2 linked regions of the Mytilus edulis genome follow. The protein of the gene in region 2 purifies or fractionates together with the protein of the main gene of each other region. This does not show direct contact. Links are inferred from orthologs where the notes say so. Each region holds a gene or a part of one and is shown on either strand. Other genes may lie near its edges.

What was found. Proteins that work in one complex are often made in the same cells at the same time.
Region 1: the proteins of V-type proton ATPase catalytic subunit A (region 2) and ATP synthase subunit gamma, mitochondrial-like fractionate together in Homo sapiens (co-fractionation; 3 studies listed by BioGRID). This does not show direct contact. The link is inferred for Mytilus edulis from reciprocal best matches to the Homo sapiens genes ATP6V1A and ATP5F1C.

Annotation. Positions count from the first base shown.
Region 1 is NC_092344.1:88,077,640-88,086,049, forward strand, and holds the start of ATP synthase subunit gamma, mitochondrial-like, read right to left. Parts: upstream 3,716-8,410; 5' UTR 3,637-3,715; coding exon 3,602-3,636; intron 510-3,601; coding exon 475-509; intron 1-474.
Region 2 is NC_092348.1:77,322,308-77,330,786, forward strand, and holds the start of V-type proton ATPase catalytic subunit A, read right to left. Parts: upstream 3,430-8,479; 5' UTR 3,354-3,429; coding exon 3,351-3,353; intron 1,019-3,350; coding exon 922-1,018; intron 1-921. Other genes in the region: uncharacterized protein, read right to left, coding at 6,446-6,463, 7,717-8,373. UniProt on the Homo sapiens protein: Catalytic subunit of the V1 complex of vacuolar(H+)-ATPase (V-ATPase), a multisubunit enzyme composed of a peripheral complex (V1) that hydrolyzes ATP and a membrane integral complex (V0) that translocates protons.

The sequences.
Region 1 (8,410 bases), on a different chromosome or scaffold from region 2:
CCAGGTGGCCGTCAGATAATGTAGCATTCAAATTTTGTAGAAAACATTATAATTTTGTTAAATCAGTTTCTGAAGTGAAACAATGTTTTAATTGAAGAATGTGAAATCTACAGTGTTAAAGGAAACATTAAGCTCAAGGCAAATGAAGAATGGTTGTTACTCTTAATATGTTTCAATAAATGACGTGGTAATAGAGTGAGGTACATGTACCACAGGAATGCCTCAATTATGATGTAGTAATAAGAATGTATTGCTAACTTAAAATGCCCCAAAAAGGGAAAATAGGATTTCAAACATTGAAAAAAAAATCTTTTCTGCTTTTAGCTACACATGTATCAATAAGCACATACATGATATGTGCCATCTTTTTTTTCTAGAATTGACTGTGTCCTGATTAAAAAATAATTTTAATTGTTATGTCAAAATGCAAAATTGAAATGAAATATCAATGATAAGAAAAATATTCCAACTTACTTTCCTTTAATGTTGCCATCCCACGCACTTGCGTGCTAAAATAGAAAAAAAAATTGTGATTAAACTAATAACAACAAAAATAATAATACAAATAACTAGAGGCTCTTAAGAACCTGTGTTGCTCATCTTGATATATGTGCATATCAAACAAATTACACAGATGTAAATGTATTCATTACAAAATTGTGTTTTGGTGATGGTTAATGTGTTCGTAGATCTTACTTTACTGAACATTCTTGCTACTTACAATTTTCTCTATCTATAATAAACTTGGCCCTTTCATTACAGAGGAAAATATTTTGTAAAAATTTACAAAAATTTACAAAATTAATGAAAATTTATAAAAATTGACTATAAAGGGCAATTACTCCTTAAGGGGTCAACTGACCATTTTGATCATTTTAACTCAACCGCCGGTTAAATCTCAACCGCCGGTTACCATATCTATATAAATAGGGTGCAAACATTAATCCACCATTCTGCCTCTGATGAAGGTCCTTTTTGGACCGAAACCAGTCAGGCTATGAAACATCACCAGGCGCTGTTAATTATGTGTATTGGTATATATAGTGTACTATATTTTTATTGACCATTTTGGTCATGTTGACTTATTTGTAGATCTTACTTTGCTAAACATTATTGCTGTTTACAGTTTATCTCTATCTACATGTATAATAGTATTCAAGATAATAACCAAAAATTACCAAACCAGTTTTCCAATTCATCTAAAAATTTCAGGGCAGACAGATATTGACTTAATAAACAATTTAACCCCTTTGTCAGATTTGCTCTAAATACATTAAATTTCGTTTCAGAGTTATAAGCCAAAATCTACATTTTACCCCTATGTTCTATTGTAAGCCATCGGGCCATCTTAGTTGGTTGGCCAGGTCACCGCACACATTTTTAAAACTAGAACCCTAATAATGATTGTGGCTAAGTTTGATTAAATTTGGCACAGTAGTTTCAGAGAAGATTTTTGAAGAAGATTACAAAATTTACGAAAAATTGGTAAAAAATGACTATAAAGGGCAATAACTCCTTAAGGAGTCAACTGACAATTTTGGTCATGTTGACTTATTTGTAGATCTTACTTTGCTGAACATTATTGCTGATTACAGATTAAATCTATCTGTAATAATATTCAAGGTAATAATAACCAATAACGGCAAAATTTCCTTAAAATTACCAATTTTAATGTTCCAGTCAGTCAATATACATGATATATGCAGTATAATAACAAATGAACTTATCAATCCTCATCATAATTTTCACTACATACAGTATTGTTTTTATTCATTTCAAGCTGACTTAGTTTGTCAAAACAAAATGTTGTTATTATTATTAATCCACCAAAGGCAGTTATTTCAATACAACAATCTGAGTCAGAAATATATTATTAAGATCAATTTTAATACCCTTAGGCTTATACAATTATTTTAAAATAAAAATAGGGAGAAGTGATCATTGATGAACAAACTTAAGGTGAACGGACCAAGAAAAATATGTTATCAGGGTGAACAGACCAGATACCCTATCTTATGATCATAAACAAGCTTCTGTCCAATGCAAGTTTGGTAAAAATCAAAGATATTTTAAGAACGTTATTAAATATTAAAATTTCTAAAAATTTAACAACAAAGTGAATATTTGTGGACGACGCAAAGGATGGATTGTAGGATTGCTATGTCTTACTGTTGTGACAAAGTCACAGGCTTAAAAATAGTTGCAATACGTCGTAGGAAGGCATCCAAGAAAAAAGTTAAGGTTCATCATAACCTTTTAAGCTAAAATGGTTGTATTTACACCATAAAATTTACTCGAGTACAGAGAAACCTGTGCACTGCACCTGTGAAAGTTTTAAAGCATGGCTGGATCTAGATAATCAAATTTTAAATGCATTTTATAGATCAGAAAATTATAAACTTTTTTGGATTTTGATATTCATTTTGAAACTCGTGTGTTTGTTTATTTTGCTATCTTCTGCAGACTGGAAAGAAAGGCACCTAAAAATCCAGGAAAGAAATTCATTTTTTAAAACATAGACCTGGTAGGGGGTCTCATTGGGGGGGGGGGGGGGGGGGGGGGGTTCTGATCCCGGATCTCGCTTACTGTTTTGTCAGATTCCCATTTCCCGCTTACACTATGTACATAAGCAATTCTCATTTTCTTGTCATTTCCTGGGTCCCGCTAGACCTCATTTCCCGTTTTCATGACACAATAATTTGACTTTCATGTGTCACGCTGACAAAAAATCGACAATCCTGTGTCACACTTAGATCCCGAGACTCACTAGGTCTAACTTTTATATACCTAGGTCCTGCCATGCCTTAAAACTTTCCTAGATGCATCAGTTTATCTGTACTCGTAGTAGATTTTTGGGTGTAAAAATGGCCATATTTTTCAATTCCTTCAAATGAACCTTTAAGTAGCCTTGTAAGAGGGGGGATAGGACCTTTATCGGGACTCCGGGATCGACTGTTTTTAAGCTCGGGATTTCGGGATTGACCCTTTCGGGATCCGGAAATTCTTTTTTTCGGATTTCGGGATGCCGGGATTTACTTTAATTAATTTGTGGACCTCGGGATTTAGTGTTTTTAAGCCCGGGATTTCGGGATCAGGACCCCCTCCTACCCCCCCTCTTGTAAGACATCATAATATTTGGACTAATGGCAATGATGCTACCGAGTACTGTATTCAGGCACGCTTTAATGTCAATTCGTCTCATATAACTCATTGAAGATCTTAGATTTTGAAAGCTGAACTGTGCGACAGTAAACTAAAGTACAAAATGTATTCTTTTGAAAATCAAGGCATATAACTAGCTAGTCCAAATAATTATAACGTCTTGAAAAGCTATTATATTTTTTTTCTTTGGTACCTTACATCGACGCAGAAAGGTGTCAAAGCAAAAATTTAAAATAGCCTTCCAAGACGTCATAATTATTTGGACTAAAAACTAGCAAGACCGATTTATTTTTGTCAACTTTGACAGAGGTCACAAAGCCGGTTAGATTGCTGTTGAAAAACAACAAGTACCACATGAGAGCGGCTTGTTCCTGTTTTCCTAAAGATTAAATGATTCATTATTTTAGGAATTATTTGGTTTAATTTGTATTGCACTAACCATTGTGGGATAAATTGTGTTGTTCGGGAGAACATGATGATTGTTTGATGGAACTTCTCCCAAAGCGAGGCACTGTGCGGAAGCTATTTAAGGGAGACAACTCCACATAAATTAACAACTATCAGCTTTTGAAAAAGCTTGTCTCAATGTATAATAATAATAATAATAATAATAATAATAATAATAATAATAATAATAATAATAATAATAATAATAATAATAATAATAATAATAATAATAATAATAATAAAAAATATTAATTATAAATTCTTTATTTAAAGAGAGTAATTCAACTGAGTCCCTCAAACAAAATACATGTTTACAGTTAACATTCGTACTTTCAAACATTTAAATACAATATATAGGTTCATTCTCATTTATCCAACTTTTTTAAAATATAGGTAGTACAGCTAAAAAAAGTTGGATAGATGAGATCAAAGGTAATCAAGAACAAAGGGTTTTCCAATTAGAGTTTGGTTGAATGACAGGTGAAAAATAAGACTGAAAATTATACCAGGATTAAATTTTCTCAGTGTAGTGTTATTTAGCATAGCATGTTAAAATGTGCAACTGACATTTAGTTAATGTAATGTAAATCATTTGAAAGTATTTTTAAGTTATTTAACCGTTAACTAAAATGTGAATTGGATAGAAAAATATCAGTTGCACTTTTATTCATGAAGGGATTTGTCAATGAGATGGAGCTTTTTTTGTATATTAGATCCTCTTCGTTCATTTTTTTCTGTTCTTCTGTCCAAATGATCCAAATAGGACAAAATATAAGTTGAATACGTTTTACTACACAAAGACTGAACAGAACAAAATTCACAAAACATATATGCATACATATATATAAAAAAAGCACACGCAATTCTAGAACAAAGATTATAAAATACTGGCACAGTAATATCAACCGCACACCGTGACTAAATGAATGTTCAGTAGATTCACACAACATACAATGGCATTAAAAAAATGTCCACTATAGATACACACATCATACATTTTTTTTTATTAAATCTGTAGCCTGCAACTGCTAGGTAGTGACCTCTGTCATGAGGTATTAGTTGTACTCTTACTTGTGCGTTTGCCATTTGTGCAATAATGAAATTTCGGATTAAATGGCTACATCTATAATACTAAAATTACGAGGTCCAATTTGTCAGCCGTCATCGGGTAAAAACGACAAATCAAAGAATTCAACTCTATATATAACTAATATAGGACAATGGTGTAGATTAAAAATTACACCACTCCAGACCCTTTTTGTTTTCCACATAATTAATATTGCCAATAATTAACAAGTTCCGGGTCTAATCCGATACCGATACCAATAGTATATTCACCTGTTAGCTATTACCTTATCTGTGCGTTCCGCATTTGACAGGCGCACCACCAACGGTGTATTTAGGATTTTGCTATATACACGGGTCATAATCAAAGGGCTGACACTACTAAATTCAATCATTGTCAAATTGTTCACTATTGTAGCTTTATTCAGCAATCAGCAAGACTTTCTAAGATAACTAATGTAGGACAATGCTGTTGATTAAAAAATACCCCATTCCTGGATAGCCTGGACCTTTTGTTCCAGGTCGACGGGTTCAAACAGAAAGATTTGAAGGCAGAGAAAACTGTGTATCTTATAATCGACATGACTTTATCAGATGACAATAACAATTACTAAAATAAGGATTAGGCATAGTTATATACTTTAATTCAGTCACGGACCCGCGATATCACGGGTGTGTACTTGTATATACTAACCATGAGCTTAACTAAGAAATATTCTTTATAGTGGGTCTCATTGGGGTCTAAGCGTGACGCGGGATTGCTGATTTTTTGTAAGCGTGACACGTGAAAGTCAAATTATTGTGGCGTGAAAACGGGAAATGAGGTCTTGCGGGACCCGGGAAATGACAAAAAAATGAGAATTGCTTACGTACATAGTGTAAGCGGGATACGGGAATCTGACAAAACAGTAAGCGGGATCCGGGATCGGAACCCCCCCAATGAGACCCCCTTTATAAAAATAGAGTTCATTCATTCATTCATTCACATGTTTTGGAAAGATTGCTGAGTAGTATTCCATAGTTTTAATTTTTAACACTTGGAGATATGTGATTGGGTTGTGAAAAATGTTTAGATTTTTGCATTGATGAGCAAATATGCTGAACACGAACAATGATTAATTTGGTAATCACTTTGAATCAGCACCACAAATAAAAGTTAACAAGTCTAAAAAAAAGTAATAAACACATCATATTTACTCAATAAAATGTTAATATAAAATTATTATTGATTGTGGGTTTCTTCTGTATAAAAGATTCAATTTATTCAAAATATACTAAATTTTATTCAAAATATACTAAATTTTATTCAAAATATACTAAATTTTATTCAAATATAAAATGTAAGAAGTTTACTATAGCCTATATTTTATGTATACATTTTTTAAATAATATAAAAACATACAGGAACAAATTTACTGTCAAATTATAGAAAAAACACCTTATAATTACTAAACAAACAACTCAATAATTAACAAAAATAAAAGTTGGCTAAATGAGAATGCCTTATTTTAAAAAGTTGGATAAATGAGAAGACACCAATATATATTACAATATGTTTTACTAGTACCAGGGACTTTTTATACTAAGTCCTGTTATATAGTACATACATAATTCAATCATTCAAACACAAATGACAATAAATGGCAATTATTGATAAAGTTATGGTTAAATTTTCTTATTCTTACAACCACAGAAAGAAAACTAACTATTAGACTTGCATACAATTTTTAAGAAAATGAGTATAACAATGTTTCTTTATTTTGAGTGGTAAATTATTAATCTAATGCAATTAATAGAACATAAGACACGAGTTAGAGTTATTTCGCAGTGCATTTCTTTAAGACAGTAACAGAAAAAAAACGCCTGCGCCTTCTAATTAATATTTTTACATAATTATATCAAAATTATAGAAATCCGATCATATTTTGTATTACTTTCAAAATGTTTCAAATAAATAAGATGTCGTCCAAATAATCATGCATATATCCCACTGGATTCCAACACGCAATTGTCTCCATCAGAAACTCAGACATGCTCAGTATATCACAATCTAAGTAGCCCTCTTCAAAAAATGTCCTGAAAAGATCTGCTCGATTTAAATTAACTTGCAAAAAACCTCTGCACAAATCAAGGGTAGAAAACCATAAATTCCATAAAAGCTTCAAAGGAATCATTTTTCCTGAAAAAGAGATAAACATCATCCACAACTATCAATTCACCTTTCCAGAATCTATCAGAGGACAAAGGGTAATCTCATTATTCGTACACCAAAATGAAAATAACGTTACGTCATTGGTTGCACTTCTATTGTTTATTACGTTTTAAACCAATTACAACGTTTTGGAGTACGCTTTTGGAAATGATTACCCAGAATACATTAGATTTTAAAACGGCGAAATTATAGTCAACACGAAACATATACGACCATATTTCTTTTTAAAAGCACAACTCATGTTAAACAAGGGCGATCTGATGTCTTGATCACATCAGTCACCAATATTTAAACAATATGTTATATTCAACTAATTTCGTAGATGGTCAGGGTTACGCCTGGTTACCGTTGGCCCGCATAACCAAACCAGGCAAATCACCTGTATTTGTGTGATGTTTATGATGATGGTTCCCCCTAGATCTTTATCAGTTTCGGAAAAATCTCCCTTATGTTTAAGGATCAGATTTCGAAGCTGTCTTTCTTTGTTACGAAAAGACTGTTTACTTTATCTCTAAAGCAAGTTTTGTATATCTAAGTCTGATATAAATTATATTTGGTCTTAAATACTCCTCGCACCTGTCCTTCATTGTCCCTTGTGGACAGTTTTTATACTTTTCACCAGGAATTCAGAAGATTGATCGATACTTGATCACAAGTTTTATCAAAGTTCGACCAATCAAACGATTGACCATTCTGATATTTTACAATCCATAAGAAGTGTCTCATTGTTTGTCAATTTGGAATGCATGCATATCTCGTGAGAAATGACATTTCCCTCACAGGTGGATTATTAGTCGTTTCTGAAGCGACAATATTATATTACCCAATAGAACCATAAAAATAGGAATGCCCACAGAGTAGCAAGTTCTTTGCTACCACATTGATCCCACAATCATTAACTTGGGTTATTAATCAAAGATTTGTATAATCTATAATTTTGTAATACTACGGAAGCGTATTAGGGACATAGAAAAAAATAAAATTGGTGTGACATTTTTTTTCAAAGTCAAAATTTTGGCATTTAAAATCTCAAAATTTCGACTTTAACTCGAAATTTTAACTTTTCTTATCTTAAAATTTTGACTTTCTAAAATCTTGAAATTTCAACTCTTTTAAAACTCGAAATTTCGACTTTTTCTAAACTCGAAATTTCGCCTTCTCCAAACTCGAAATTTCGACTTTTTCTTAACTCGAAATTTCAACTTCTTTTAAACTCAAAATTTCGACTTCTCTTAAACTCAAAATTTCGACTTTTAAACTCGAAATTTCGACTTTTTTTAAACTCGAAATTTCGACTTTTTTTAAACTCGAAATTTCGACTTCTTTTAAACTCGAAATTTCGACTTCTTTTAAACTCGAAATTTCGACTTCTTTTAAACTCAAAATTTCAACTTTCTTTAAACTTAAAATTTCGACTTTTCCTCAGTATTTATACGTTTGCGATTACCACATTCACAGTCATTTATATCAGCAAGGCGGAGAGTCATATACATCACAAACTTCATAAGCATATTTTAATAAACT
Region 2 (8,479 bases):
AGTGATTTTCTAAATCACTGATTCAAGTAACATTATTTCCATAAAGGTTGGAAGTTAGAGTTGTCTTTCTTTAATAATCACCTATTTAAGTAGTACAAAATAATCACTATAATAGAAGAAGTGATTTAATTTTACTGTAGCTTTAAATATAGAATACTAATGATCCAGGGACTAATTATGTTTCTAAACTTATCAGAACCAACATCTGTGTTGTCTAGGATGGCCAGGTCATTTCAGGTGATGACCTTGTACCGAATCTAGGATAATGACATAAAAATTATTTGTTTAAGTATCATACCTCAATTTCCTTCCCAAAAATCACTTCTTTAAGTATCATTATTTTAATAACCCCCACTAATTTCAACACCCCCGAACAGTGAATTTTTTATCGCGAACAGTAGAATTTTATTACATAATATGAAAGATGAAGCCTTGAACTTTACAGGAAAAATACTCCCACTGCTGGGAAAAATCTTTTAAGAAAGTATCAGTTCATTATGTCAAGCCATTATTACAGCATTTTTTCAACTAAAATAGATTTTTTTGCTAAATGATAGCATCAAAGGCATAAACCTTGCTACTTAAAAGAAGCAAAAAATTCATTTTCTTTCAATTTTACAAATGAAAAAATATTATTTAAACCTATAGATGTGTTTAAAATTTTGGTAAAATTACAAAATCACAATTTGTGACAAAACTTCGAATTTGCTACTCAAATTAGTGATTTAAAAATCACTTATTTCAGTAAGTCCCCTGACTGATGATAGCACAGCATTTAAACAATTCGTGACCTTGATTTTATACCTCAGAGCATGCTTCTTGAAAATTATATGCTGTGGGTCAATTGATACATTTAGGTTTCTCAGAATTGTACATCATATACATGTAACTAAAGTTAACATGGTAAATAAAAAAGGTTACCTGGTCCAGAAACAGCAAACACATTGCCAAACATAGATTCTCTTTCTTCATCTTTAATCTTTGGTAGACTACTCTTAGCTCTGTCTAAACCACCAGCCTAAAAATACAATTTTATAGACATTTGTAGTGAATATTTTTGCTCATAGTTTCTTAGCTAATAATTGTTTATACCCTAGTATTTGGAGTATTTTCACAACCCACTTTATCTTAATGTTACCATACTGATTGGGGTTTTTTTCAATAAAGAAAATTGTAAAAATGTAAATATGGTAAACATTCCTTTTTTATATTTTAGACATCTGCATTTAAATATGAAAGATACAAATATGACATTGCTTTAAGACATGTAAGAGGAAAAATGACAGTATGTCTGGTTTTCATTATATATGAGCTGTGTCCTTATGCAATGGAACTATACATGTACATATATAACTCCATATATAAGCTAAGACTTTAATTGGTTTTGGAGCATTCAAATATGAATTAAAAGATAAATTTTGGTTCCTTTTGTAGGGTTCTCATAACAACTCAATTTTAAATATTTACAGCCTTTCTGTAGAGATTTTTCAACTGTTAACAGATGTATTGGTATTCATTGGCATAAGGTCAATTTCTATCTGATATTATATTTAATAGTCACGATAGTGTCATTATGATAAAGAAATGAAGGGCAAAAAAAACAACATTGAAAAGCAATGAATAAATTATTCTTAAGCATGTTAAGTTTTTGCACAGAAACAACAGGAAATGGTATTTTCAAACCAACTTAGGACCACACCATATACAATGTATGCACGGCAGAATTGAAAAAATATCACAATTAAACTTAGCCTTCATTTTGATCATTTTGTCATCAGTAACAAAATATTCCAATTTGAAAGCCAGTGAGTTCTAAAGTTATGGCATAGAATCAACATAATGTACATTTTCTAATACACCTGCTCAATACATGTACATGTATATCATTATATTGAGTCCATTCCCAAAAAAAAACTAAGTCGTTTAGACAACTTCCTGAATCGCAAAAAAAAACAAAGGTCATCAGCATGAATGAGCTGTGTGGGAAAAAAAAGTTTGGAAAGCAAACATTTGAACATTTTTATAGTTTATGAAGCAATTTTTACAAGACAAATGAAAGTCATTAATTGCTTTGTTTGATGTGTTTACAATGGTTTTGTCAGTTCTACGAAAAGTTTTAAGCACAATATATTAATTGAACAAGGCCCCAGATAGCTTCAACTGTCAACTGGTGTGAAAAAGTTGGTGTAATTTTGGGGCAATGACCTAGGTATCATGGATATAATTCCTGAAAGGCAAAAGTGAATCAACATCATCAAAAGACATACATGTATGTCTGGAGTTCTACCTAAATTATGTTTCGAGATAAGATTGTACCGTCTAACATGTCTAAGCTTGTGTATGCTAGAAATATGATTTTTTCCCTATTTTATACTCCAAAAATTAAAGAAGCATAAATAATTGTAGATGGTAATTTTTTTCATAAATTTCCTGTTTACAAAAATATTAATTTTTCGAGAAGAACTAAGGATTTTCTTATCCCATGGCCATGCATTTATTCGCTTAGCCATATTTGGCACAACTTTTTGGAATTTTTGGTCCTCAATGCTCAACTTTGTACTTGTTTGGCTTTATAACTATTGATCTGAGCATCACTGATGAGTCTTATGTAGACAATATGCACATCTGGCGTATTAAATTATAAGCATGGTACCTTTGATAACTCTTGGATATTTCTATCAACATGATCAACGACCTGAAAGACCTTCAACATCAAAGTTAAGTGGTTGATAAAACCCTTCCCAGTTTTTCGTTAGCTTTCAAAATTTTCAGAAACATTATGAAGGCATCTGATTTCCTGCAAATTTGTATTGAAGGAGCAGATGATTTCTTGCAAATGTGTATCTGATTACCGAAAAGGATGATCATGACATGGGGATAAATGGGAAAATCCTGTTATAATAACCTTTTGGATCTCATCTAGAAGCAACTGCCTCAATTAAGTATAAAAAACAAGACATACTATAAAATCACTATTTTTAACTTGGTATCATCATGAATATATATGTAATAGTTGCCACTGGACATTACACTGTTACAGTCATTAAGAATACAACATTAATTCAATCTCCTGGTAAAAACCTGACAAGTTAAATCTGTTATGAGAATTCTAGAAAATAGATAGTTTAAAGACCTTTCAAATGCGGTCATTCATCAATGGTTAGTGGTTGTATATGTAAACTGTCATGACTGTAGAACCAAGAAACCGGCAAATGACTTCGAGTGGCTACATGGTGCATTTAGGATTCATGAATAACACATTTCTTAGTCGATCTTTGTAGAACTTCAATTGTTTTGTGGTGACTGTTTAACATATGTAGTATTCAGCCAATTCTTAAATAAATACTTACCATTTTGCAATGAAATATTGGATTTGTAAAATTATCATGTGATAATCGATGTCTTGAGAGAAAACGACTTCCGGTTTGATAAAAATGCTGAAGCGGTTTTGTAATAATATAAAACTTTATCGGCGAATAACGAATACCGATCCGGATAAATTAATTCAGTTGTAAATTTATAACAATTTCAAAGTAATCCCTTTAAAATATCAATGCTTATGAAATTACTTCAAAGTGGCATTAAATATGTGATATAAAATATTAAGAAAAAGTTTTTTTTCTCTCAATCTAATGAAAAAGTGAAATAATATGATCAGAGACATATAATACAATTGTATTATATGTCTCTGATATGATTCGCTTTTAAGTTCGCCGGATTTTGACTGACTTCAATTGTCATAATGATAATCAGCTTAGAAACATCGTTGATAGATTATTCGTCCTCCTTTCCCGAATGTTACCTACCGAATTAGAGTGATTTCTAGGTTTTTTAGACGAGGAACACATGTATATTGACTTTATACTAACATGACCGGCATAACGGGTGCCACATGTGAGCAGGATCTGTTTGGTACCATCCCGGAGCACTTGAATGATTGAGTCGATCCACAAAAACTTATTCGTAATTGATTTAATAAAGTTTCTAGTTGATTGGTTTATCATGAGACAAAAGCTGTTGTCAATTACATAAACAATTTATAACTTATATAATCCAATTATTTAAGCATTGAATATTCAACTGTAGAGAAGTCAATTATCTTTGAAGTTATAATAATTTAATCCACGAATACGAATACGAATATTTTATTCTCATAAACATATAACACGTTAAAAATAAAAAAGGGAAAATAAATAATTCCCATTTTGGCCCAGTTTTGATATTAACTTTTTACATGAAGAATATGTACATTAATTTGTACAACAGGGACATTAGATACAAAAATAATCATCAATTCTATAAAATTCGTCAGATTCTTTTCATTTTATTTGTAAGAGAGTTTTGATACTCAAATATAGTTACTTCAATTTGTATAAAACAGATTTTCTCCACATTATTTGGTACGTTTACTTCTATAACAGTCTTATCTAAAGAGTATTGACACTCTTTGTTGCATGCGGTTCTTTTATTTCTTTACTTCAAGAGTACGGTCTAGTACTATGAGTAACATTTATAATACCACAAAGTATTACTTTTCTTGTTATAGCTCTTTTTACTAAAGAGTATCAATATTGCTCTCATTTTTTAAGAGTAGCAATACTCAATAAAGCGGTACCTACCTCCAACGTTAGAAAACTCCGGTGATTTTTTTTTCTAGAACCATTTTTTAGCATCTAGACTAGAGTTTTTTTTCTGACAGAGTATCGATACTCTTTGAAACTGTTTTCTACTTTAAGAGATTCGAAATTCTTCAAAACAGGTTTCTACAATGAACATAATGATAGTATTGATACTTTTGGAAATAGGTTTCTAAATTGAGAGAATCAATATGCTTTTAAAAGATTTTCTACCTTGAGAGTATTGGTACTCTTTTAAACAGTTATCCACCTCGAGAGTATCGATACTCTTTTAAATAAGTTTTATACCATGAGTATATTGAGAGTATCGATACTCTTTGAAAAGGTATCCACCTCGAGAGTATCGATACTCTTTTAAACAGCTTTCTACTTTGAGAGTATCAATACTCTTTTAAATAGGTTTCTACCATGAGCATATTGAGAGTATCGATACTCATTTAATACATGTTTCTACCTTGAGTATGATGAGAGTATCGATACTCTTGTAACACATGTTTCTACCTTGAGTATGATGAGAGTATCGATACTCATATCTATTTTTCGTTTTTAAAAAACATGGAAAGATTTGAAAAAATAAGGACTAATATAAGACTATCTGAGGTATGTATTGCTTCCTTCGATCCACAGATACGAATGGAGTACACTAAAAAGTCACAAAAGTTGAACTTTGAACATTAAATCTTTTAAAGCATGACAGTGTATAGCATCTTGATGGATTGAGTGAAGTTCTCAAGAAAACATGCAACCAAAATGTAATAACCCCTGGCGTGAGACGGACAACAACACATTCAAATGTATCACTTCTAAGTGGTAAAAACAAGAATATAAATGAAGTTCATATTTTTTATAACCTAATAACATGAACCCCATCAAAAACAGGCGGTATCTCAGGTGCTCCGGAAGGATACGCAGATCTATTCCACATGTGGCACCTGTCGTGTTGCTCGGGTTAAAAGGGTCTCAATGACTATCAAAACAATCGAATATATTTTTATATTATCTTCAATATCCATCTCATCCTCATCTCCTATTAGGAATATAATAATAAGTAGTAAGGGCCATTGACAAAAAAAGAAAGATTATACTTTCATAGAACATTTTATAAAGATAAAGATGAATAACCTTTTATGCTTGAAAATTCAAACTTTCTCAAATGTATTATAACTAGATCAACTATGCCACACGCTCCAATAGTTAACCTATATTCTGTATAATTCCACGTTTTATGCATGCAAAATATTAGAAAAAAAAAACCAAATAAATTCATTGTTGTATATAAGTACATATTTTATTGCTTGATCATTATGAACGCTATTTTGAAATAAAGATTAAATATTATATCTTGTATTTTGTGTGTAAACATAACAATTTATAAATCATGTTTGCTTTGATCATGTTGATATTAATAAGTTAATCTGATAGGATTATTGTGTATAATTTAACGAAGACCAATCAAATAACATGATAAAAACAAAAACAAACAAAACGAAGAGAAGAGAAATGAAATATTATACATCGTTATACAATATTGTATCTGTTTGACAACTGCACGTTAGAAATAATTGCCGATAGTAATCGTTAAGCTCTGCCGTCAATCCAAGTACGATTGATGCCAGATTTTGATATTTTACTTTTAAGATGTGTTCTCAACAATATTTTCTGCAATGTTTTATGAATAAAAAAAGTTTCACAACACATATGTTCGAAGATGGATGGATAATAAAGTTCCTCAAGACTGATTTCCATATCTGGATTAAAAGGTCCATCAATACTGATTTCTTCAGATCGTGTGTACGTGTCCCTCATCATCAATTATTGACAATAATCTGAAAAAAATAAATGTTATTTTTTTGACAAAATGTTATCAAAATACATGAAATATTTGCAGATGTTGCGTTCTGCAATGACTTGCATTGTATATTACTGTCTGAGAAACTTAAGAAACCGCTTAACAGTAAATAAAGGCAACAGTAGTATACCGCTGTTCAAAACTCATAAATCCATGGACAAAAAACAAAATCGGGATAACAAACTAAAACAGAGGGAAACGCATTAAATATAAGAGGAGAACAACGACATAACACTAAAATGTAACACACATAGACAAAATCCCACGAGAATATAAAACTGTCTAAAATTGAATCTTTATCTATATATCAATTTGAATTAAAAAAAAATAGAACGGTGCATAATTACAATGCATTTAGGAACATGAAATTCAAGAACCCGATCATGTACCCGATATATATGCAATTTTTTGACCATCACAACCACTCTTTCAGAGGTCTGTTGAAAGTCAACTTTCTGGTCTATCTACTATAGTTTTCAAGAGTTGGTTTAAATTTTCCGACCTATACATGACGTGCTTACTCATATAACATATACCTATTGTATATTTTTTAAAGATTTTCTCGTCCTCAGTATGCACGTAATAATTGCCACTGGACGTTAAGCATGCCTCACTATATAAACAGATGTACGTGTTATTCTAATGGATAGTATTAATTGGTTAGCAGATCATTTTGTTTTAGTTTTTGAAATTATTCTGGTAAAAACAAATAAAAAATGTACAAAATTGAGCTTGACGACATATTCAAAAGAAGAAATGATTCGTATTTTCTATCATGTCAATATTTAATTTATATTTAAATGTGTTTACAGATACACATGTACGAATACACAAGCATGCACTATTTTCTTTTTTCGCCTTCTTGATTTTATTCTAAGCTTTGGTGGGTATTGACTTAACTTAGATCGAGAATGGACGAAAAAGGCAATTACTACTTATTTCACCTTTTAAATAAAAACAATCAATTTCAAACAGAATACAAAGTGTGATATCATATTAGTATTCATGTTATATGTCATGCATGTATACAGGCCGTTGTTTTGTTCATTTTATTTACATGTACAACCAACCCATTGAGATTGTGTATGTATTTTTTATAACTTATATTGTTATTGCATTAAAATATTGACAAATATTCCCTTTTGTATTTTGTATTGATTTGATAAGAACACCTATTTTGTCATAAACACTGTGGAATTGGTCATATGATGCAACGCATAGATGACTTACCTCCGGTGTTTCCTGTTCGCCCACTAGAAGCTGTCTTACATCGGATGGCACGGGATCAGTGCCATCCACAGAATCTTCAAGTGCATTTTTGTCATATGGCTTGAACGAATTTAGTCGCCAAATACATCCCTTTCTGGAATATTGTGTCAGTTGGTATTTGTTACTCTGCATATTCTGTATAAAAGACAGTTTATTCGTCCACCATAATCTGGCTTCTTGCGTCAAATACGTTGACCAGACAGAATTGCCCTTTTTTAAAACATCCATGTCTAAAAGGTGAAAAGAGGCCATCAGTACTGGTGGATTTGAATTTGTTAGCAATGGTAACCCATTTGGTCTCACTTTAAAAAATCCTCTTCGGAGAGTTTTCCATGGTTGTTCTGAATTTTTTCGATAGTATACATTCACTGACTTGTTTGCCTCATCATATCTGTATCTAAAAATATTTGACTTGGAATGGCTTTTAACTCCAGCTATGCATGGGTCTAGCCAACCGCTCACATTATAGCACCCATGCAGTTCCTGTGCATTATACAAATGTTGATGTAGTCCAGGAAGAGTTGTGGCATCCGTGTGCCTCAGTCTATCGGAAAATACACTAAACATTTGGTCAATGTCTTCATGCGTATGACCAACATACAGAAAGGACAACTGAATCTACAAAGTATTTTTTTACACTATTACAGTATTAAATGGATGTCTACGAGAAAACCATGCAAAATCCAAAAAAAATTATGAAAGGGGTTGTTGAGTTTTCAGCTGA